3 linked regions of the Rhinolophus ferrumequinum genome follow. The protein of the gene in region 1 interacts with the protein of each later gene in a pairwise test. Links are inferred from orthologs where the notes say so. Each region holds a gene or a part of one and is shown on either strand. Other genes may lie near its edges.

Evidence for each region. The genes of interacting proteins can lie anywhere in the genome.
Region 2: the proteins of CREB5 (region 1) and FOSL2 interact in binary tests that used the Homo sapiens proteins (3 or more experiments, as listed by UniProt). The two-hybrid records come from large-scale screens. The link is inferred for Rhinolophus ferrumequinum from reciprocal best matches to the Homo sapiens genes CREB5 and FOSL2.
Region 3: the proteins of CREB5 (region 1) and KIFC3 interact in binary tests that used the Homo sapiens proteins (3 or more experiments, as listed by UniProt). The two-hybrid records come from large-scale screens. The link is inferred for Rhinolophus ferrumequinum from reciprocal best matches to the Homo sapiens genes CREB5 and KIFC3.

The regions. Positions count from the first base shown.
Region 1 is NC_046303.1:13,464,128-13,471,388, forward strand, and holds the start of CREB5 (cyclic AMP-responsive element-binding protein 5), read right to left. Parts: upstream 3,003-7,261; 5' UTR 2,945-3,002; intron 1-2,944. UniProt on the Homo sapiens protein: Binds to the cAMP response element and activates transcription.
Region 2 is NC_046296.1:52,533,278-52,540,645, forward strand, and holds the start of FOSL2 (fos-related antigen 2), read right to left. Parts: upstream 3,019-7,368; 5' UTR 1,965-3,018; coding exon 1,863-1,964; intron 331-1,862; exon of another isoform or gene 1-330.
Region 3 is NC_046298.1:10,368,543-10,375,470, forward strand, and holds the start of KIFC3 (kinesin-like protein KIFC3), read right to left. Parts: upstream 3,019-6,928; 5' UTR 2,877-3,018; intron 1,658-2,876; 5' UTR 1,376-1,657; coding exon 1,133-1,375; intron 1-1,132. UniProt on the Homo sapiens protein: Minus-end microtubule-dependent motor protein. Involved in apically targeted transport. Required for zonula adherens maintenance.

The DNA.
Region 1 (7,261 bases):
TCCAATTGTTTATTTAAATGAAAAAAAAAATATCGCTACTGAGATAATCCACATCTCGTGGATATGGGAAAATTTAGGTTATAATGGCACTACAAACTTTTACATCTAACTTTGATTTACAAGATAAAAGCAAGTTTTAAATTAAAAGGGCTTTCTGTTAATAGAGCTTATTATTCTGAAGACGGGAATGATTTTCTTCGAAAGTTGTCCCTGGGTACATGCCTATTATCTTTGCTTTTCCCCTTCCACTAATGAGCATTTATCTAAAGAGCCTGTTAATCCTCTGATGTGTGCTTCTGGTCAGAGGTAACAGTTTGAATAAAACCACTAATCACTGATCACTAAATCACTGATCATTAATCACACTCTCCAGTGTCCGTGACCCGGGCCATTTTTTCCTTTAGGTCTATGCATCATAAACAAGAAGTTTAACATTTTAGATGCACATGTTTGTGCGGGTGGGGGGGCAGTACTATTTCATCTCTAGATGTGAATAAATAATAAATACTGCCTCGAACTTGGGGAAGGATTGTCAATTAGATCCCAGACAGGAGTTTCACAAATGCTTACTCTGCAGCATGGCTTTCACTTTGAAGAAAGTAGGTCTGACTATAACAAAACATGTGTTCTTCAAGAAATCCCCACATCCTCAGAATATAAATTTTCCTTTATTTAGTTTTCAGCCACTCCAAATCAGAGAGCACCCAAGTCCTCTGCCCACTCCATCCAAAACCCCACTAGTAATTTTTTTTTATTTCTGCTGTGCACACTCCTCCCGCTCCAAGAGTTTTTACTTTTATCCCTTAAACATGGTCACACACTGGTGTTTTTATTTCCACTGCCAAATATGAAGTTCTGATTCAATTCATATAACGTGTGTATTTAACGTCCTCTTTAAATATAGAAACTTAAGGTTGAAGGAAAGAAAGTAACACACGCAGCAATTCATTGTATGGTATTTTGGGTTTAACGACTCACATTCCCTCACTTTGGAAATGAAACGTTTAATCTTGATCCTTTCAGCTAAATTTGATTTAGTCAGCATCCTCACTTCTTCCCTGGTCTGCTAAGCGGTTGGAGAAAGGCGCTACGTAAAATTAAGTGCTATGTTTGCAGTGGGTGTGTTGTTTTCCTAAATCACCACAGGGACACAGTATCATCATAACGTCTCTAAGCATTTCCTGAGATGTCTTTCTATCAGAGCTGAGTGTTTTCGCCCTGGAGAAGAGGGGTCGCTGGTGCCTTTCGTAAATAATAGAAAAGGGCAGATTGTGCGTGTGCTGATCAGGTACCGTGCTCCCCTCAGACACCAGAAGCTCTTACCCACACTCCAGGGACAGTGATAGCCCCGGGGAAAACAGTAAAAGGCGGAGGCGGGGCCAGAGTGATAACGGTGTGGGAGGGAGAGGGGGTGACGAAGGAGGGGTCCCGGAGGAGGGAGCAATACAGATGCCCACGGAACTGGCGCTTGTACAAGTATGTTGGGGCTGGGGGTGGGAAGCAGAGTTGCTTTGTCAGCATTTCTAAGCCCCCGAACCCTTGAGTATCTGAAGCTGTTAATCACTTACTGGCCTGCAGAATGACGTAATGGACCTGTATCCAGCCTTTATTCCTTGACACATGTCAGAGAGGGAGGGAAAAATAAAAATCAAACACACTCTGCGGACACTGACAACAAAATATACAAGCAGCCCACTCCGGTTCCTGGCCTTGAACAAACATCAAGTGGGGGCGGCACCCGTTCAGGGAAAGTTAGGAAGGAGGGTGGACAACGTCTGGGGCTTTATCTACCAGATAACACACACCCTCGCCCCCGCCCGGAAATAAATCTATGGCAAAGAAGAAGCTGGGTGCAGCTGCCAGGAGAAAACATCTCCTTCGTTCCTTCGCGTGTCTTGCCCCTCTAAGAACTTCGTGAAAAGTTTAAGCGGTTCCGTGGAGAAACTGTCGTAGAGGAGGGTTCCTTCGCCGAGTCCTGGGAACTGCCACCGCGCCGCCGCGGCAGAAGCCCGAGCTGTCACTTGGGGCAGCGGCGGGGAAGAGGTAACGATGCCAGCGAGCACCGGACGGAGGCAGGAGGCGGCTGAAGAGTGAACGCGAGCAGAGCCTCACCACTCTCAAGCCTTCCGTGCCTGGAGCGAAAGCCAAGTGCCTCCAAGGGCGATGTCCCCTCCCCGGGTGCGCGCGCCCACCAGCTGCGGCGGGCAGCCCTGCGGGAGAGGTGGCAGCAGCAGACTCGGCACCCGGGAGGGAGCGAGCCCCCCCGCACGCCCTCCTGCCCACCCGCTAGGTGACCACGCGTCCTCGCCGCGCCTGCTGGAAGTTTGCAAACTTTCTTCGGGGGTTCCGCCGCATCACCGGGAAGTTGGGGACGCGGGGGGAGGTTCCTGGCTCGCCGTCTCCGCTGCCACCGCCGGTGCCACCGCTTGACCGCACTTCTGGAGGGTTCCGCACCTTGCCAGGTCTCTGGAGGCAAACACACACCCCCGATTCATAACTGTTCCCCGCGTCAGGGAAACACACGCGCGCTCCCACACACGCACGCACGCCGGGTGGACACAGCGCTCACTCCACGTTAGCATCCCTTCAGTCGCACGGCGCAGCGGCCACCGAGACGCGCTCCGGGAAAGACACGGCGTGGGGTCTCTGGGGTGGCCTCAGGACACAGCAGAATTCCACAGTTCACCATTATTTGGGGCCGGACTTCCTTCTGGTCCGCCAAAGTGTTTACAAACACAGATCACCCTCCAAAAAAAAATGCATCGCATCTTCCCTACTCCTTGCCCTGTGACCTGCCCACTGGACCGAGTAACCTCGCGGCTGCTGCCGAGAACCAACCCCTGCAAACAAGTACGCTCCCGAGATGGCTCCCTCGGCAAGTGCAACAAAAGTGGCTAAATGCAAAAGCCCCAGAAGTGGCCGAGCCGTATTTTTAGGAACTTACCAAACAAGTGTGGAGAAGGCAAGAGCGGAGCCCGGGTGAAGGGACCACGTTGGACTGAGCAAAGATTACAATACATTCTATTTAGAGTGCATTACATCACCCCCCCGGTGACGTCACGTGGGATTCCTGAACTTCTAAATCATTGCGGTCCGCGGGGGAGAGAGGGAGGGGCGGGGCCGGCGCGCCAAGGGGGCGGGCCCCGCCCCAGCCCCGCCCCACCAGCGGAACCTGGTGCACCCACCCCGGAGCGGCGGCGGCGACGACCGCGCAAGCAACAGCTTGCAGAGCCCAGCGCCGTGTGACACGGCTCCCTGACATTAGTGGTGTGAGTCAGCTTGGAAACAATCCTCAGGGTTTCAGACAGGACCACGGAGGAGGCACAGACACGGGTTCTCCTGCGAGGAGGGCCTGGTAGCATTTGAAAGGTGTGGGGAGGGGTGTTAGGGGAGAGGTGGGAAGGGGGTCCTGAAGGGTGCGGGAAGAGACTTTCTACCAACAGAAATGAAGGACGCTACCCTCCTCCCCCAACAGCAGATGTCCAGCTCCTTTTTGCCTGCGACAACAGTCGTGACCTCATTACAGTGTTCCCTGCACTGCATCCTGGTTTCTCAGAGCGCGCACACAGCACTCCTTTTAACCGCCCCCACCCCACCTCACCTGCAGGGAATAACTTTATTGTGCACCCTCACATGAAATACACAAACCCCACCCTTTCCAAGACCCCTGCTTCGTGCTTCTGAGAAGCTGGAGGGAGAGTTGCTCCTGGAGGCGAAAGGTGAATCACTGCTGGAGCCAAGTGATGAGCCTGATTTAGACTCAGCGTCAGAGCCGGAAGGGCCCTTGGCGATTCCCTCCAGAGCCTTGTCTGTAACTTGCCCAAGCTCACAGGCTGGCAAGTAGCAGAGCCAGAGCCAGAATTCAGGATCCCGGCGCCTGGTCTGCAGTATCTTCCTGACAACTTCCTGAGAGAAGGAGCCTGGCATTTTCGGCGTTGGCCAGTCACCATCACCATCTTCAGCTTAATTTCCATTCAGATGTTCTCCCTATGAGGCGGACTCAAAGGGAAGGCATAGGCGAGATTCCAGCCGATTTTATGCGACCGCTGTCATCCTTGCAGCAGCTCACACTTTACAAAGCACTCACACCCACGTGAACTCTCTTGATTCTCACCACCCAACACAAGAAGTAGGGCAGGTGTTATAATTATCCCCATTTTACAGGTGAAGGAAGACAGACTCCAGAATGTGAGGGGGCTGGCCTGAAGTCACTTGAGCAATTGGTGGCAGTGGCATCACCCCAACCCCTGTTTTTAAAGCCCAGATCCCAACTAGGCTTCTTTCTAGAACCAGGAGTGAGCATTCGCTTCTCCTGGGTTACTGGTGGTCACAACCTCTGCTAAGGATGTGTTGGCTGAGAGTAAGAGGTTTGCTTAGAAACAGTTTAGCCCCCATTAACAAACAATAATTATTCCTGACATTTATGTAGCAGATGACATTTATATAGCACCCCTCATCCCAATGCCTCATAACCATGACTGTGCGGTTTGCCAGAGAATCATGACTGGACTGGCTTGAAACTGTAATGCTCTGCCTGGATTGTCACATACTTCTGAGCTGGTTTGACATACTGAATGGAAGAGCTTTGCATTTCCTTTCTGTTCTGAAGTGTTCAAACAACTCCCTCCCCTTCAGTGTTCCTTGAGACCATAGGGACTGACGACTTGTCATTTCTTACAGCCCTATTCAGGACGCATCACTGAGTTTTCTGTTTGTTCTTTTCCACATGTAGCCCTGAAGGAACCTGCAAAAGAAGGGCTCCAGTCCTAACTTGAATCTTAACCAATAAAACTTTAAATATGACAGCTCAATTACCTGGGTTTATGGAAGGAAGCAATAGCCCTACTCAGGATAGCCTCCTTGCCCACATCCCCATTCGATTGCCAGAAAAGCCTTTTCCACCTGAAGGAGGTATCTACCTCTTTCTCCCTCAAAGAAAAAGTATGAGCCAGAGGAGGAACAAATGAAGCAGAAAGGGGATACAGCTCAACACATCAGAGCTCAGTCTGAGAGCTTATCTTCTTTTCCAGCTGACAGGTGGGACCAAAAGAATAGAATAGAGAATTGAATAAGCAATGCCGAGGTGATAACCAAAATATTTAAAAGCCTGTAAGTAGTTAATCGACATGTAAATTTAAAACATTGAATCTCCAGTATTCTCTAAACAGAAGCATATACATATGAGGTTTTCTTTTTTAAAGATTTTATTGGGGAAGGGGAACAGGACTTTATTGGGGAACAATGTGTACTTCCAGGACTTTTTTCCAAAGTCAAGTTGTTGTCCTTTCAATCTTAGTTGTGGAGGGTGCCGTTCAGCTTCAAGTTGTTGTCCTTTCAGTCTTAGTTGTGGAGGGCGCAGCTCAGCTCCAGGTCCAGTTGCCGTTTCTAGTTGCAGGGGGCACAGCCGAACCGGCAGCCTTCGGAGTTAGGAGCATGGAGCTCTAACCGCCTGAGCCACCGGGCCGGCCCCTACATATGAGTTTTAATGCAAGTAGTTTATCAGTTTCTAATGCTATCCAGATCATTTGTTGAGCTTTAAAAATTGCGGACCTTTTGTTTGGCATGCCGTCACTAAGTAAACAATGCCCCTTTCTGAGCCATGATTGACATAGTAATACACATGGAACTTTTCCAATGACGTCCCCAATTACTCGATAATCATTAGGTTACTTGGAGTCCCCATAGGTAGATAATTTCTCTTAACATCAGTAGTATTGTTTAAGGTTGCTGACTCCTTTCTCAGCTTCTACTGAACTGACAGCAATTTCACTCAGAATGTTTCTAGCCATTGTATTATAGACAGTTTTTTATATATTTCAGATCTCTGTTACCAACTAAGTCACACACACACACACACACTTTTTTTTAATAATGTAACTTGAGAAGAAAGGTAGTGTTTCCCAGTGTGGACTCTAATGGCAGGCTGCCTGAATTCGAATTGTGGCTATGGGTCTCAGTCTCCTCATCTATGTAATGGGGATGATGGTAACTCAAATGAGTAAAGAACTGTGCTTGGCACAGGATAAATATGTAAGTACCTGCCTGCATTTTTATTAACGAGAGAAATGTGTCTAATGCCACGATAGGAAGGCATTCAGTGATTTTTAGCAAATTTGACCAAATAAATGAAAACAGACACTGTTTCCCCAAACTCTCCCGGCCCCACACTAACCCCTGCGTGCATCATCTGTGCCAAGCAGGTTTTCATCTGTCAAGCCATGCCAACACAGCCCTGAGGTTTGTGGACTTGAACTCCTGCATGCCTCGTGCTCTCACCCAGGCTCTTCCAGGATCTCTCAGAGCCAAAGTCCCATGGAAGCTGCAGTCCTCAGAAGCAGCCATGCTAGAGAACCTCTAGGGATACCACAGCTGGTGGTGGCCATAACCTGAGGCATTTGACTACTGAGGTACCAGCACCACCTCCAGAAATGCCATTTCACCCACTAGGATTCTACCCATTAAGGCCTAGGGGGCCTGTAAAGACAGGGACACTTACACTAGAATCAAGGTAAACTGTTGGGGTATCACCCACCCAGGATCCTCCCCACACCCTTCCACAGGGTAGGGTCACAAGTAGGGCACAAGCCCACCCGTATACAAAGACACTGGTTGGACCTATGAGGGGCTGACTGACACCTACACTGACCAATGAGAATAGATGACACCGCATGCTAGACCAGGGGTTAACCCTTTAGTGGCTAGATCATGGGGCAGTGCCAGGGAGAGGCCTGGGCAGCCGGGCCAATGGATAAAACAGAGGTAAGAGCAATGGGTATTTGCTAACCGCATTGGAAGAATTTTAACATTTTAACACATTTACAGCCTTACCAGTGGTTACCTAGTGAATATCAAGCCTGAGTAGAACCATCCCAAAGTGCCCTCAGATGAGGAGAAATCCTTTATCTCTTGCTTTGGATTTAGTAATTTCTCCAACATTCAACAAAGGGTGGGAGGTCTGCCCCATGCTGGGGAGAAAAAAAAGAAAAGGTCTTCTTCCATGTTCCTAGGCTCCCACAGAAGTTCTCAAACTCAGCGGCATCAGATGCACTTGGGCAACTTGTTAAAGGCAATTTCTTGGGTCAGACTTCCCCGGGGATTTCAATTCAAAGGTCTGGCATTGGGTTCAGGATTCTGCATTTGTCCGGGGACCCCACTTTGAGTGAGTCTTGCTTAGTGAATTTATAGATGGGCCCAGGAGGAAGCTGGGGAGAGAACAGGAACAGTCTGCTGCCTGCGACACTACATAAATATACGTATATAT
Region 2 (7,368 bases), on another chromosome or scaffold:
CAGGCTTATATTCGAGAACCCCATGCACTAGTTAATGCTAATTGCAAAATCCTCATGTGTTACAGCATGCTAGGAATTAGCCAACAGCTGCTTTTGGCTTCGGTGATGAGGCCCCATTACACTCCGCTGGACTCAGTTCTCTTCCTTCTTCCTAGCAATGGTTTCCTGTCTGATTTTCTTCCAAAACAGGGAATTGCCTCCGCTCACATCCTGGGCTCAAAGCCCTAGTGACACAGATTATTCAATTGGGGCACTGATGTCCGGTCTGACTTCCCATCCAGGCCCCAGGGTCTGAGCAAAGCCAGGCAGCAAGACTGTCATATTTCAGTGACGGTCACAGAAACTGCAGCGAAAGAATAGACAAGAAATCAAAAGATCCCTTCCTGATTTGGGGAGAAGAGGGACGTTGGAGGATTTGTTGAATCAGAGAGGGAGAGAATGGGTATAAACGACTCCAACCCATCGTGCCTAGGGATGTATGGATTCAACACAAACTCCCGACCGACGGGGCTGGAAGGCAAATAAATCGAACGTTTTTATGAGAAGATTTTAAACTCATCACCTTGGTGCTCATTATTAAGAGTGCAGTGACTGCACCCTCCATGCTCAGACTAGGCTCTCTCCCGTGAGTGCTTATGGGGACACCAGGGGAGATAGAGGGAAGATTCAGAGTCATTTGGGGGGACTCACCAGGTATGGGGAATCACTGGCACAAGGTGATTCAGATCCCAAAGAGAACTGTTTCCATTTTACTCTACCGCAGGGTCCATCCTTCCCTGGAAGCCCACCCTAACCCCTCTGGCAGGCTGGCTGGTTTCTAGAGACCAAGGCCACCCAACGCCTTACCGGAGCAACTTTTGCTGCCTCCAAGTTAGCTAGACCCCGCAGATCCTGACCGCTGCGGGCTTCTGCTAGTGGCTTTGTGTGTATGAAGCCAGCTCCCTAACAAGACTGGGGGTGGGGGTGGGGGCTGCTGCGGAGGGCAGGCACCCCACCAGCACCACCACTCCACCAGGACCTTTCTGGTATTTATAGACACACAGATGCATGCACAATCCCTCCAGTGCAAACCAGTCCGGCTGCTTTAGAAACAAGTTGTTTTTCTGCTTCCAGAACCACCCAGGAGCCCAAGCGAGGTCTCTTTCCTCCACTTCTCCCAGTAGGTCTCCTTGGCCCTGGTACTCCCAGACCCTCCAGGCACCCCTTCTAGTGGCCTTGCAGCCTCCTGCTCCCACCCTAACAGAAGATGGATGGGCCCAGGGCACACAGACACCACCCAGTCAATCAAGGCTGATCTCCTCCTTCTTGACCTTCGCACCTGATTCCCAGGGCAGCCCTCACCTTCACTCCGGATTACTTGAAAAGGCCAAACCGTGTTTTCGAGTCCCTAACCGCTCAGAAATTAACTGGCTGCTGGGAACGGGGAAAGAGAGGGAGAGGGCTTTCCCGCAGGAATAGAGTCCCAGGATATTGGGAGAAGCCAGTGGGTACAAAGATTTTTTTTTTTTTTTTTGGTCCAGCACCGAGAGAGGGAAAGGGGCGCGTAATTCCTGGGAGAGAAGGTAACAGGTTTGGTGTCCAAAGAGCTTGTCTGGATAAGATGTAGTGAAGGAAAGGGTTTGTTGTCTTTCAAGCCCACTCCCCGCTCGTTTGTGTGTGTGTGAGTGTGTGTGTGTATGTTTTAAGGTGGTGATGGGGGAGGAGGGGTGGGCAGGATAAGAAAATCTAGAACTTACAATGGTGGCCCGTAGGAAATTTCTCACCAAACCAAGAAAGGGAAAAGAAAGCAAAGAGGCGGTGGCGGCGAGAGGAGGGAGGGGGTTCCGTCCATGCCGCCAGGTGCATCCGGGGCCCGCACTTACCTGCTGGCCGCCGCCGCCGCTGGAGTAGGACTCGGCGTGCGCAGGAGAGCCGCTGCTGCCCCGGGACGAGGTGTCAAAGTTCCCGGGATAATCCTGGTACATGATCCGCGGTGGGGGCCCGAGAGGAAACAGGGTGTTTTTCTTCCCCCGCCCTCGCTGCGGCCGCGCACCGGCTGCTGCGCGCTCGCTCCCTGCGGCCCGGGCCTGGGCTTCAGTCTCTGCTCCCGGGCTTCTCTCCCACGGCGGCCGGCGCGGACCGGGAGGCGGCAATACGCGGGAACAGTGCCCCCTGAGCGCCTCGCGCGGCACTTCTTCCCTGCTCTACGAGCGCCGCGGGACCGGTTGTCCACCCAGTCCCTCCCACTAAGAAGTCGGCGCGTCCCTCCGTCCCTCCCCTGCGCGCGCTCTCCCGCCCCCGCGCGCAGTCAGAGCTCGGCTAGGACCGCCGGCCCAATCAAAAATTGGAAATTAAAAAAGAATGGGAGGCCGGAGAGTCACGCCTGCCAGGTCTGGGGTCTCCGATTTCAAGCGGAGCAAAAAAAGAAAAGAAAAAAAAGCGAAAAGAAAGGCTGCCCGCTTGGAGAAACTTCTATTTCCTCCTTTTAGAAAAGGAACTGAGAATAAACTTCCTGTGGCCGACGCGCCTCCGGAGTTTCGGAGCGACTCGGACACTTGACTAGAAGGCAGCCTGCGTCCGTCTCCCAGCCCGTGGAGTTCAAGCTGAACCGGCGCTGAGAGGGACGCGGCCCCGCTCCCCGTGTCGCGGTTCCAGCGCCTGGACCTGCACCCCTTCCCCGGCGCCCGCTCTCGGACGGGCCCGCCTCTCCCGTCGGGTCCTCTCTTTCTCCCTCTCTGTCCCCGCCGAGCGCCGCTCGCTTGCTGGCTGGTTCGCTCGGAGCCCCTGCGCTCTGCCCGAGATGAGTCACTACAATGGCACGAGTTCAACTCCACACTCTTTATTCTCCAGCCCCTGTACCATGTGGATTCACTCACGTCAACCCGACTCCACCTTGCAGGGAGGAGCGCGCGGGGAGGCGAGGAGGAGGAGGAGGAGGAGGAGGAGGAGGCGGCGCGGGAGGAGGCGGGCGCGGCGCTCTCCTCCCTGCCCCGGCTCCTGGCCGCGCTGACGCCAGCCGCACACCCCGCACGAGGAAGGAAGGCTGTGGTTGGGGTGGGAGCGGCCGGCAGGCGCGGTTTGGGGGAGCCGCGGCAGCCCTGTCCTGCCCCCGCTCACCCCTTGGGCCCAGCGCCCTTGGTCTGTTCCATTGGCGCACGTTGCCAAAGATGGTCATTTGCGTTAGAGGACGCGAGTGCGGGTTCCCTTGCTTTCGCGTGACGTGGAGGGAGAGGGATTCCCTCGCAGGCTCCCGAGCGCGCCGCGGGCTCCCCCTACCCCCACCCCCCCACACACACACACACAGCCCTGGAAAGGGGCGCGGGGCGGGGCCCCCGAGAGCGGCCGCGCGGGCCTCGGCGCCGGGTTTCAGAAAATAATCACAGTCCTGAAGAGCGAGACTGGCAGTTCAGTGCGGCGCCACCGCCAGGCCGGGAGCCCGGCGCGCAGAGCGGCTCGCAGGGAGGGCGCGGCTACCCGTGGTCGTCGGCGCCCTCCGCGGCGCCGCGGGTTGCAGCGGGCGCCCTGGGCACGCAGGGTACCCGCGCCGCCCTGCGGCCTGGCTTTGGCGGGGCACAGCGCCTCTGGGCGGGGCCGGCCTGCCTATTCTTCGCTCAGTGGCTGGCTGCCCACTGCTTACCCCCATCTTTTTTTTTCCCCCGGCCCGACGATTAATTTATTAGGGGAAAGCTGGAAAACGAAAATTTAACCAGTCAACATTCCGGCCGCCCTCTATGCGGGACAATTAGGACGCACTACTAGAAGCAATCGGGTATTATAAGCAAACAACAGACTGTTGCGAATTGCAAAATAATAATAACAGGGAAGGAGGGAGGTCTGGGAGAGGGTGTGGCCCAACGTTGTCTTCAGCTGTTTTGGAGTGAAGTTCAAGGAGCAAGTAGACGGGACTCCTAAGTCTTCCCGCCGCCCTGGGGCGGGGCGAGGTGCGGGATAAAGACCACAGGCCTTCGAGTACGAACGCCAGGCTGTATTTACGAGCTGTGAGACTGGGCGAGTCACTTAACCTCTCTGGGTCTCAGTTTCTTACTATAAAATGAAGGGGTTGGGCAGGTGACCTTGTAAGGCCCTTGTCAGCTCTGGAACTTCCACCCTTCTGCAGAGATGATCCGGAGGAGCACTGTACTAGGTAGGAGTCAAGGAACCTGGGTTCTGGTCCAGGCTCTGCCTTAGTCTCGGTTTACCCATCTCAAGTGGCGCCATCTGTACTCCCACAGGGTCCTTGGAGGACCCAAAGGGAAGACGCGTCAAGACTGAAACGCTGTAACACATCATAGTTCCGGTCCTCAGTTTCCTTATCTGTAAAGTGGAGGTGTTGCTAGGAAAGAAAAATAGAGCCGGGAACTCAATGCTTTCCCGGGACTCTATATAAAGCGCTGGCGTTTCCGGGACGGCTGGCGGCATCTGGCCGCCCCAATGACCCCAAGATACGGTAATCCCAAACAATACTCGGGGTCATTGTTTACAGTTATAAAACACATTCTGTCCTGAGCTCCATCCCCAAGGACGCGCGAGGCGAGGCTAGCCAGACTCCTCGAACCTCCGCCACCGCCCGCGGGGCAGTCCCCAACTCCGCGGGCTCTGGCGAGGGGTGTGGGGCAGGCGGGTGTTCACACCAGCCGCGGGGGCTTAGGGGTGTGTGTGTGTTTTGTCATCCCTGAGTTCTGCCTGCAAGGGTGTTTACGCGCCTCTCCCAGCAGGACTGAGTAAATGCAGTCCTTTGACGCAAAACCAATCAGTCCTTTTCCCAGCGGCAGCGGCAAACCCCAGAAAACTGGGGGTGGGGACGGTGTGGGAGGGAGCGCAGAAGAAATCGTGACACTTTCTCATTCACTTCTCCGTCCTCCCCGCGCCACACGGACCTCTGACCGCCTAGAGAGGTCTTTAGGGGGTGGGGGGCAAAGGGAGGCGAAGCCGGGGCGTCCAAGGCCTTTCCGTGAGCTGCCGCGTATCAAAGAGGCGCGAAGACACACTTTTGGTTTTCCTTTGAGCGGCAGCGGCTGCCCTGCCCTCCCCCACCCTGCATTCGAAAATCCGGGTGCTTCTGGGTCTCTCCCACACAGTCCTTCCAGTAACGCGGGGGAAAGGAGGAGGGGGAAGGGAGCGGGAGCTTCTTCCGCGCCCTCCGCCGTCCCGGGCGCGCCCAAGCCCGGGCAGGCGCCGCTGGGAGCGCGCGGGCGGGAGAGCGCACCCTCGCCCGCCCCCGCCCTGCCTGTTCCCCGGCCCTTTCCTTTCTTGTGGGTTCCCGTAAAGCCCAGCAGCCCCGAGACGTCTGCAGAGCATCACGGAATCTGTGCTGATGCAAGTCGCTAGCCTCCCTTTGGTGAGCCCGGGCCTACCTCGGAGCGCTTTGATCCCGGTCTTCCCCTGCTCCAGAATTTGGCTGGTTCCCTCTGCCCGCGGGGAGGCCTGTCTTCCGCAGCCTGCCCTCACCTTTCAGTCCTCGGAGAGCCAGACACACAGAGCTGCGCTCCGGTGCTGTGGGGACTGAACCGCTGCTGGTCCAGCTGGTGCCTCGGCCAGGCTATGTGTGCCAAACTGTGAGTTCAGACTCCAAGTCCAGTTAACTGACCCCTCCGTGGGAAATCATTCCAAGATCACATAGTTAGAGTACTCGGGCTCCCTGGAATAACATGCTAAGAAGAACAGAGGCCAACGTTTATTGAGCGCTTACCAAGAGTCCGACACCAGGCTGAACACTTTATAGGGATTGTCTCTTGCAGAACTCCCAACAGACCTTTGAGTATTATTCCCTGGTAGCAGATCAAGAAAGTGAGATTAAGGCACTTATCCAGGAGAATTGGTTAGTTGGCTAGTGACCCGGTTGGAAGTGCAGCTAGGCCTCTGTGACACCTGCTCTTCCTCTTACCCAGGATACTGCATGACCTGCCTCCTACTGGAATGTCTTGGTTTCTCTTACAGGTCTTCAGAGAGCATGGACTTCATCTGGTACATGGCTTTGTCATATACCTAGAGGTGCTCCTTAATTCTCTGCTGAATAAATAAACAGCCTCGCAGCATCCTTCAGCCTAAGGAAAGGTCACATCAAGTGAGGGACAGGAAGGAGGGAAGCTGGGGTACAGGCAGAGTAAAGGGTCCTTGCGCTGTCCTCTCATTGTGTCTTTGGGTCTCTGTAACTTCCCTGCCCTCCATTTGCCAGTTTCCGCCTTTGTCCCTCTAGCCCAGTGTTTGGCTCCTGACTTGAGTCCCGGAATGGCTGCCTTCTCTGGGCTGCACTAGCCCACACATCTGAAGCCTGGACAGTTCAGGAAGCCTTCTCACATACCTGGCCTTACTTGTCCTCACACACAACATCCCCAGCAGGGATGTGATGGCAGTTGGGGTGACTCTGGACTGCCAAAGAGGAGGCCAGGGAACAGAGTGGCAAAGCAGCCTACTCAAGATTTCCCAGCCTGTGGGTGTCAGAACTGTACTCAGACCTATCTCATCTGACTTTACACCCAGTTCTCTGCCTGTTACCTGTGCTCCCAGCTTCAGCCTTGTCAGGTCAGAAGCAAACACTGTTGCTTAATGATAAATGCCCTCTATCCATCAAACCCAAGCAAATCTGCCATCATTTCTGTATAGTAAGCCATACATTTTGATGATGTTTTAACATTTCTCAAAGTGTGTGCATCTTATAAGCAATGACTGTTTAATATGGAAGTGTTTCTGTTTGTCCAAAGGCCTCTGGATCAGTCAGGAGTCCATCGGGAAAGACACTTCACACAGTAGCAGCTGGAAACTGACCACCCTGGGGTTGAAAAGGGGAGGAAATAGTGTTATTAGAGCCGAGTGTACACTGGGGCCATGGAAGAGAGCCACGCAGCAGGAGGGAAAGAAATAACCACTGCCAGAGAGAGTGCTGAAGGGGCTGTGGGAAGGACAGCAGACGCATCTCTCCCATCTCTTCCCCCATCTCTAGCCAAAGGCAGTCCACTGAGGTCAGCCTCTCAGGGCACAGAGAAGGGCGAGGAAGAGTGTGGACAGTGGATCTGGTGGTGTTGGGGAAGGCACACACTCAGCAAATGGGAATAACCAGTGTAGATGCTATTAAACCCAGATGTATCTTCTTATGGGTGGCATTTCAGGCTGGGGGAAAGCCAGTCAATCAGTGAGTCTCATACCTCACCCGAAGTGGGGGTGAACGTCAAAACAACCTGCACAGCTTTTTCAAAGTACACCTCTCCTCTTTTTAAACGTCACTGATGCACTGAACCACTAATCTGGAGGGGATGCATTGTATCCCTCAGGTGTGGGGGCAGAAAAAAGTTGGGAACCACTGATCAAAAGAGATCAGCATCTGGGAGAAACAGCTGGATGAATAAGCAATGCTGACTCTCTCCTCTGTAGCCTTACATGACCTCCTTTAAA
Region 3 (6,928 bases), on another chromosome or scaffold:
TCTGTATTTTATTGTTATCATGACTCTTATCACAGTCTGAAATTATCTTGTTTTCTGTCTGCCTCCCCTGCCAGGTGTGCAAGCTCCAAGACAGAGAATCGTGTTGGCCTATTCACATCCTGGAAAAGGGCCTGGTACAGAGCAAACATTCAATACATATTTGTTGAGTGAAGAAATCAATCAATCAAGCAGAGATAGATAATGAACTTGTAAATAATTAATGCAATCCAGAGCAGCAAAGTGGGAATCACTCAAAAACTAATCTCAGGCTCTGCCATTTTATCAACAATAAGTACAACAACAACAATAGCAATAAAAAAAAATCAATAATAATTCAATAATTATATTTTATAATCCAATTCAATAAAACAGTTTCAACAACACAAATAACTCGGGTATTGATTCAAAGCGCTTGGCATTTACTATCTCTTCTCAACCTCATGACAATCCAATGAGACATAGTCTGTTATCCCCATTTTAATGGGTCCAAAAACTGAGGTATAGCAGATGTTTTGTGACTTGCCCAAGGTCACAGAGCCAGTTTGGGGCAGAGTCAGGATCCTAACAGGAGGCCACACAACTGTATTCAAATTCCTCTAAAGAAACATTATAGAGCTGGTGAAAGAAAGGTTTTCAAAAACAGATTACCTCACAGGCACATTGGGAGGGTTCAGATAAAAGGGTTTTGGATTCATTCTGAACTACTTGAAAGAGATCCCACCACAGTATAGTCGGAATGTGAACATAAACAACCATTTATTGAGCGCTCACTGTCAACCAGGCCCAGGGTTATGCACTTTACATGCATTATTATCCCCAGTTTACAGATGAGGAAACTGAGGTACAGAGCAACTGAGTAACTTCTTCAAAGTCCCCTGGCCAGGAAGTATTCATCTCAGCTGTGGCTGCACAGATATTCATCACAGGAAAAACCTAGCACTCAGTTAGATCTGGTCATTTGCCAGGAGCTTCTGAGAGTATAGAAGATACTAGAAATGCCTAAATCTGGCAACTTTCAGACATGTTTACAAGACTTGAAGAAAAAACTCCATACTTCATCCTGGAGAAGTTTCTTTCCTTTATCTAAAGGCACTGTGAACTGTGACCCTCCTTGGCAAGGTCTGCTCCTTACCTGTAAGCCATGGACCGTTGTCTCTGAGACCAGGATGCTTCCTGGGGAAGGGGCTTGGAGTTTGGCAGGACCAGATCCATTGGAGGTGCCGGGGCCAAGCCAGTGCCAGCCCCAGGTCTCCTCCTGGCCTGCACTGGGGGGTCTTTCCCATTCTCCCCTTCGTCCCCTCCACAGAGCCCAACTCTTCAAGCTCAGCTGGAGCAGGGCTGGAACCAGGAACATGGCAGCCACGGGCTGGCTCATGCTGTCAGGTTGTGGGAACAGAATCTTCCAAACTGGGGCCTGCAATGGCCTGTGCCCTGGAATTTTCTGCTTGGTTCACCAATTCCTAGCTGGACCAGCAGTGGCTTTGGTTTTGAACAAGGCCGGCATTCAGTCTTTAGTCCAGCAATTAAAAGGCTTTGAGGACAGGATCTCCTTTAGTTTCCAGGGCATGACCCGGGTCACAGGCAACACAAGCAAAGGTCTTCAAATATTGTCCTCTGAGTTTTCTAGCCAGTGTGTCTCCGCTGCAGTCAATACGGTCTTGAGAAGAATTCGAATTGTTATAGCAGGGGAGGCAAAAATAAAGTTAATGAGTCTCCTGACATTCAAGTGGCAGCTCAAGATATCCACAGTTGAACCTCTCCCCAAATTTTTCACCCCTCCCCAAATCCCGCGTCTCCCCCAGCCTTCCCACCCCAGCTAATAGCAACAGCACCCTTCTTGTGACTCAAGCGGAAACTGCAGGCATCCTTGTCTCTTTCTTTCACACGCCACGTCCTACCAGTGACAAGTCTGCCTGGCTCCACCTTCGAATAGCATCTGGAATCTGACCACTTCTTCCCACCCCCACTGCGCCCACCATTTCTGCCGGGATGCCTCCAGGAGGTTCCCCCTGGTCTCCCACTTCCAGCCCTTTATTCACTATCATCACTTCTCAACTCAGCAGCCAGAAAGTCCTCTTAAAATTAAAGTCGAACCATGTCAATCTCCTGCTTAGAACCTTCGATGGTTCCCATTGTCGCTCTGAGAAAAAGCCCAAGTCTGACAGCGGCCCTTCAGGACTCGCAGCTGCAAACCTCCCGTTACTTTCTATTCTTCCACTCTGCTCCTGAAATCCACCAGGCACCCTAAAGCCCTTTGCACAGGTTGTTCCCCTTTATCTGGATGCTCTTTCCCCAGATATCCACGTGGCTCCCTCCGTCCCTGCCTCCCCACCTGCTCAGGCATCTTTTCCACAAAGAGGCTCACCCCTCATCTTCCACCTCCACTCCCCAACCCACACCCTGCTCTGGTTTTCCTTTCTTCCTTCATTGCCTTTAACACCTGTGACATGTGAATGATGTACTTATTTGTTGTGCCTGTGTGAAGGGGAGAAAACCTACAAGGTGTACTTTTGTTTGCCAGGATCTCTCAGGCAGCTGTATGGAGCCCGGCATGTGGAAGGGGCTCAGTGAAGATTTGTGAAATGAAGGCGAGTCCCTGCGAGGCACGGAATTTCTATTGAAGAAACATGAGAAAGGGAAGAGAGGAAACGTTTGAACTTTCTGGCCCCTTGGGGAGATGAGATGGGGGAGAGAGTGTCGGAGGCGGGGCTGGAGACCATGTAGGTGCCCCCCTCCAGCCACTTGTAAGCCTCTGCCTACCCCCCCAACCCACCCACTGGGTTCTCAGCTGTCCTGAGAGCACTGTGACATTCCCGGCCCCAGACCCGAAATCGGACTGGAAGAAGCAGACAGCTGAAGGACACGTCTTTCCCTACCTGTGGCCTTTGTGACCTTGCAGTGACCTCCAACGTGGGCGAGGGGCCCCAGGCACTCCACTTTCTACATATAAATACTGATGGCTGAAGAAAGCGAATAGTAGAAAGTGATCCTAATAGAAGTGGCCTTGCTGCAGATGCTAGAAGGCAGTGTCCTGCTGGGAAACCTGGACACCCGGGCAGAGAGGATGGCCCAGTGCAGCCCCCACAAGTGCAAATTCCCTCGTCAAATCATCCAGGCCCCGATTCTTTAATGAATCTGGTCACAGACAGCCCGTCCTGCCTCCCCTGTCTCCCTCTCCATCTGGGTGTTAACGAGAAAAGCAGATTAGAAATGTCAATCCCGGGGCTGGTTCAGAGCTGCAGCACTGTCCACATTCGTTCCATTCCGACAGGTCCAATTTCCTTCCCCAAACAAACACTTGGGAATTGGGTTTTGAGAAACCTTCTACTTATATGAATTTCATGAGCTTGACTATGACCTGGAGTAACTCTTTTATGAGCAAAACAAAGATATGACCAATAAAAAGGAATTTGTTTTCCTTTGTAATTTCAAATAGAGTCTGTGTGTGTCAAACACACATGGGGCCGTCCAGTTTTTTGTTAGAAGCAGGAAAGGCAAGTCCGATAAGGTAATTTGCAGGTGCTACTGTGAGTATCTAAGAGAACATTAAGACTTTGTTTCCTTCATCTCATTGTTCGAGAGTATATACTTTCAGATTCCATGCAGAGGCTAGAAGAATCCTTTGCAAAACAATTTAAAAATACGCTGAAAAATTATTGTCGGAGCAACTCTGTTGTTAATTAAAAAATAAATCAGAAGCCAAAGTTTTATTACCACGTCATCCTTTTATATCTAATGCCTCGAAATTGCCGTACATTTTGGGGAGTCTACTAAAGCGATTAGCTCGTTTTATCCACATGGGTGTTCACGTTATTATGGTGCCCTTGGGAAGTAAGAGTGTCCCAGAATCATTGTAATTTAGTCATTGTTTTCTTTAGTATAAAGAAAGCCAAGTTGAACAAGGAGTGATTCAGCTGACTGAAGAAGGACCACACAGAGAGCTGAAATTCAGGGCCAGACGAAGATGCCCTATGAATCTCATTTTCAGTTCTGTGTGCAGACCACTAACGCGTCTCTCTCACGAAACAGAAGCCCTGAGAATGACTACATAGTATTTTTAACAAAAACATTTACCATGTCTGAGGACTTTATGCTTGTGATACCTTCACGCAGCAGCTTTGAAGAAAAACAGCAGAGGTTAGGCACGCCTTTTCAAGGTCAAATTCTATTAGAAGAAAAAAATCTAAAGACCTAGATTCCCTGGAGGCAGCCACGTTAAACTTGTTTTGTTTTCAAGGCAGGAAATATTCACATAAAATTACACTTTGTGAGAGGATGTCTATGATGATTTAAGTTTTGTCTCTCTTCTTCTCCCCTCCACAAAAGATGAATCCTAGAATCCTAAAAATGTTCTCCCCTTAGCTGTCATGGTAAGTAACCTACTTCGTTGTTGCTCTTGAACCAGCAGAAAACAACAGCACTGAGTGATCAGATGGTACAGGGATTAGCAGAGAGGCTAGAAGTAAGCTTTAGAGGTTTATATCTACAGTACGAACTTGGGTCCCACTGCTAGAGACAAAAAAGGAAAAAAAACACAAAAAAACCCTTAACCAATTCAAGGTAACGACAGTAACAGTTTCTCGATAATTGGTGATCTCATTTGAAAGGGTCAGTTGTAAATAAGCACAGCAATGAAACCCAGTGTTCACTCATCAATTTATTCTCTACAGATCAGTTTAATTGAGATAAATTACCTCGTAGACAATGACAATACCGACTTACTTACACAGATAAGTAAGATCTGTGAGATCAATTGAGATAAACTCTGCGGGTGTGTATCCGTGGAGGCATTTACTTTCTCATTTCTGATGGAATGATTTTCAGGCACGTAAAGTGCTCAGTGAATGCATGATGGCAGTTCTCCAAGGATCCGAGTCAGTATAGTTTTTTAAACTACAGAATTAGTGCCCTTTGTTTTATGAAGGGAAGGACATAAACTCCCTGCTGCTAGAATAAAAGAGGTGAGCAGAGGTGTTTAGAATGAGTGTTGAATGTTCTTCACAGCATGATGTTAAAATTCAAAAGATTTCCAGTGGGTCACTCTTGTTTGTAATGGGACATTTCTTAAAGGGGGGAAATTTTATTAAAATGGGGAGAGATAAACTACATTTTCTCTTTCACTTAGTGGTGGGAATCTCTGAGTAAAACACACTGTAAAAATACCTGGACATACCTGAGATACATGATTGCGTTCGGCACCCAGCAAAACATTTTCAATCTAGAAATTCACGTGCTTCAGGTGTTGGGACTTTCTTGTGTTATTTCTTTGATTTTTTTTTTTTCTCCCTTCCATTTTCTTGGTTCTCTCCAGAATTCTTTTGGGTCCATTTTGGGAATTCCTGATTTGATTCTACCTTGCTTTTCTCTTCCATTTCTCATATCTATCTTTTTGTTCTAGCTCCAAGAAATTTCCTCAGCTTTATCTTCCAACCCACCTATTGATTTCCCCTCTCACATGATATTTTTAATTCCCCAGAGATTTTTCTTGTTTCCTGACTATTCATTTATCAATAGAATTTCAAGGGTACAATTGCATTTTGTCTCTCTGGGACTATTAATTATGGAGTTTGTTTTTTTCCCTTCTCTCTTTTGCTGCTTTAATTGTTTGTTTTCTCTCTCTCTCTTTTTTTCCTGTTTGTTTCGGTATCTACTTTTAAGTTAGAGACTTCATGTTAGATTATTCTTGACTTTCTGTTCATATTTAAGGATGGGACACTACAAAGTCAATTGGAAGTGTAAGTGTGGGTAGAGCTCATGATTGAAGAACTTCCTGTCGGGTGGTAGAGTGGGGACCAGGATCTTTCATTGGAAGGCCTTCATTGTCAATTTTATTAGGTCTTTTCTCTTGAGCTGGTCAGTTTCCCCAGAAGTGAATCATCCCATCTCCTGTCTAAGTTGGGTACAATCCTGGCTGCCAATATTCCGAGACCTAAGAGAGGAAAGGAGGCTGGAGGTCTCATTGTTCAAAATCAAATTTTCATTTAATTCCTGTTTTGGGTTTGGTGTCTCATCAGCCCACTCCCTTTTCTAAGTCCAGATTCTTTGACATCTTTGTCTGCTGTTGTTTCCTCTTCTATTATCTTCATTCTTACAGGTTTTTACTTTTTCATTCCTTTACAGTCATTTCATTTGGGTTCAGGGATGGATGAAAATAAATGCATATGCTCAAGCCTCCATGCTTAACTAGAAATATTACACATTCATATTTTGCTTCAAGAGGTTTCATGCTAAGTACATTTATATTATGAGTGATAACTGCTCCATAAGCTCCAATGATCCCAACTGGGGTAGAGTGAAGGAACCTATATGATGAAAAAATTTCTACATTCTACTTGAAGTGGTGGTGTATCAACTATAAGTTATCTGTGAAAAGTTAGATATGTAAATTGTAATTCCTAGAGCAACTTAAAAAACTTCTTTGTAGACTATTTCTTTGTATGGAATAGCTAGAAAATGTTTTGTATAGAACTAAAAGTAGTATGTTCTAGTATATAAGTAAAAAAAAAAATTTGTATAGAAAAGCTATTCAAAGAAATAAAATAAAAAAGCCAACAGATAAATTAAAGTGGTATACTAAAAATGTCCAAATAACCTAAAAGAAAGCAAGAAAGGGCAAATAGAGAAACAAAAAAATGGAGGGGACAAACAGAAAACAAATAAATGATTGACCTAAATTCAAACATATTAATAATTACATTAAGTATAAGTAGTCTAAATATACCAATTAAAAGACAGAAATTTCTAAATTGGACTTTTAAAAAAGGCCCAACTATATGCCACCAATAAGAAATTCACTTTACATATAATGGTATAGATGTGTTAAAAGCATGAGTGTGGAAAAGTATATACCATGCAAACAAAAAGCTGGAGTGGCTGTATTATTCTCAGACAAAGTAAATTACAAAGCTAGGAAACTACTATGGATAAA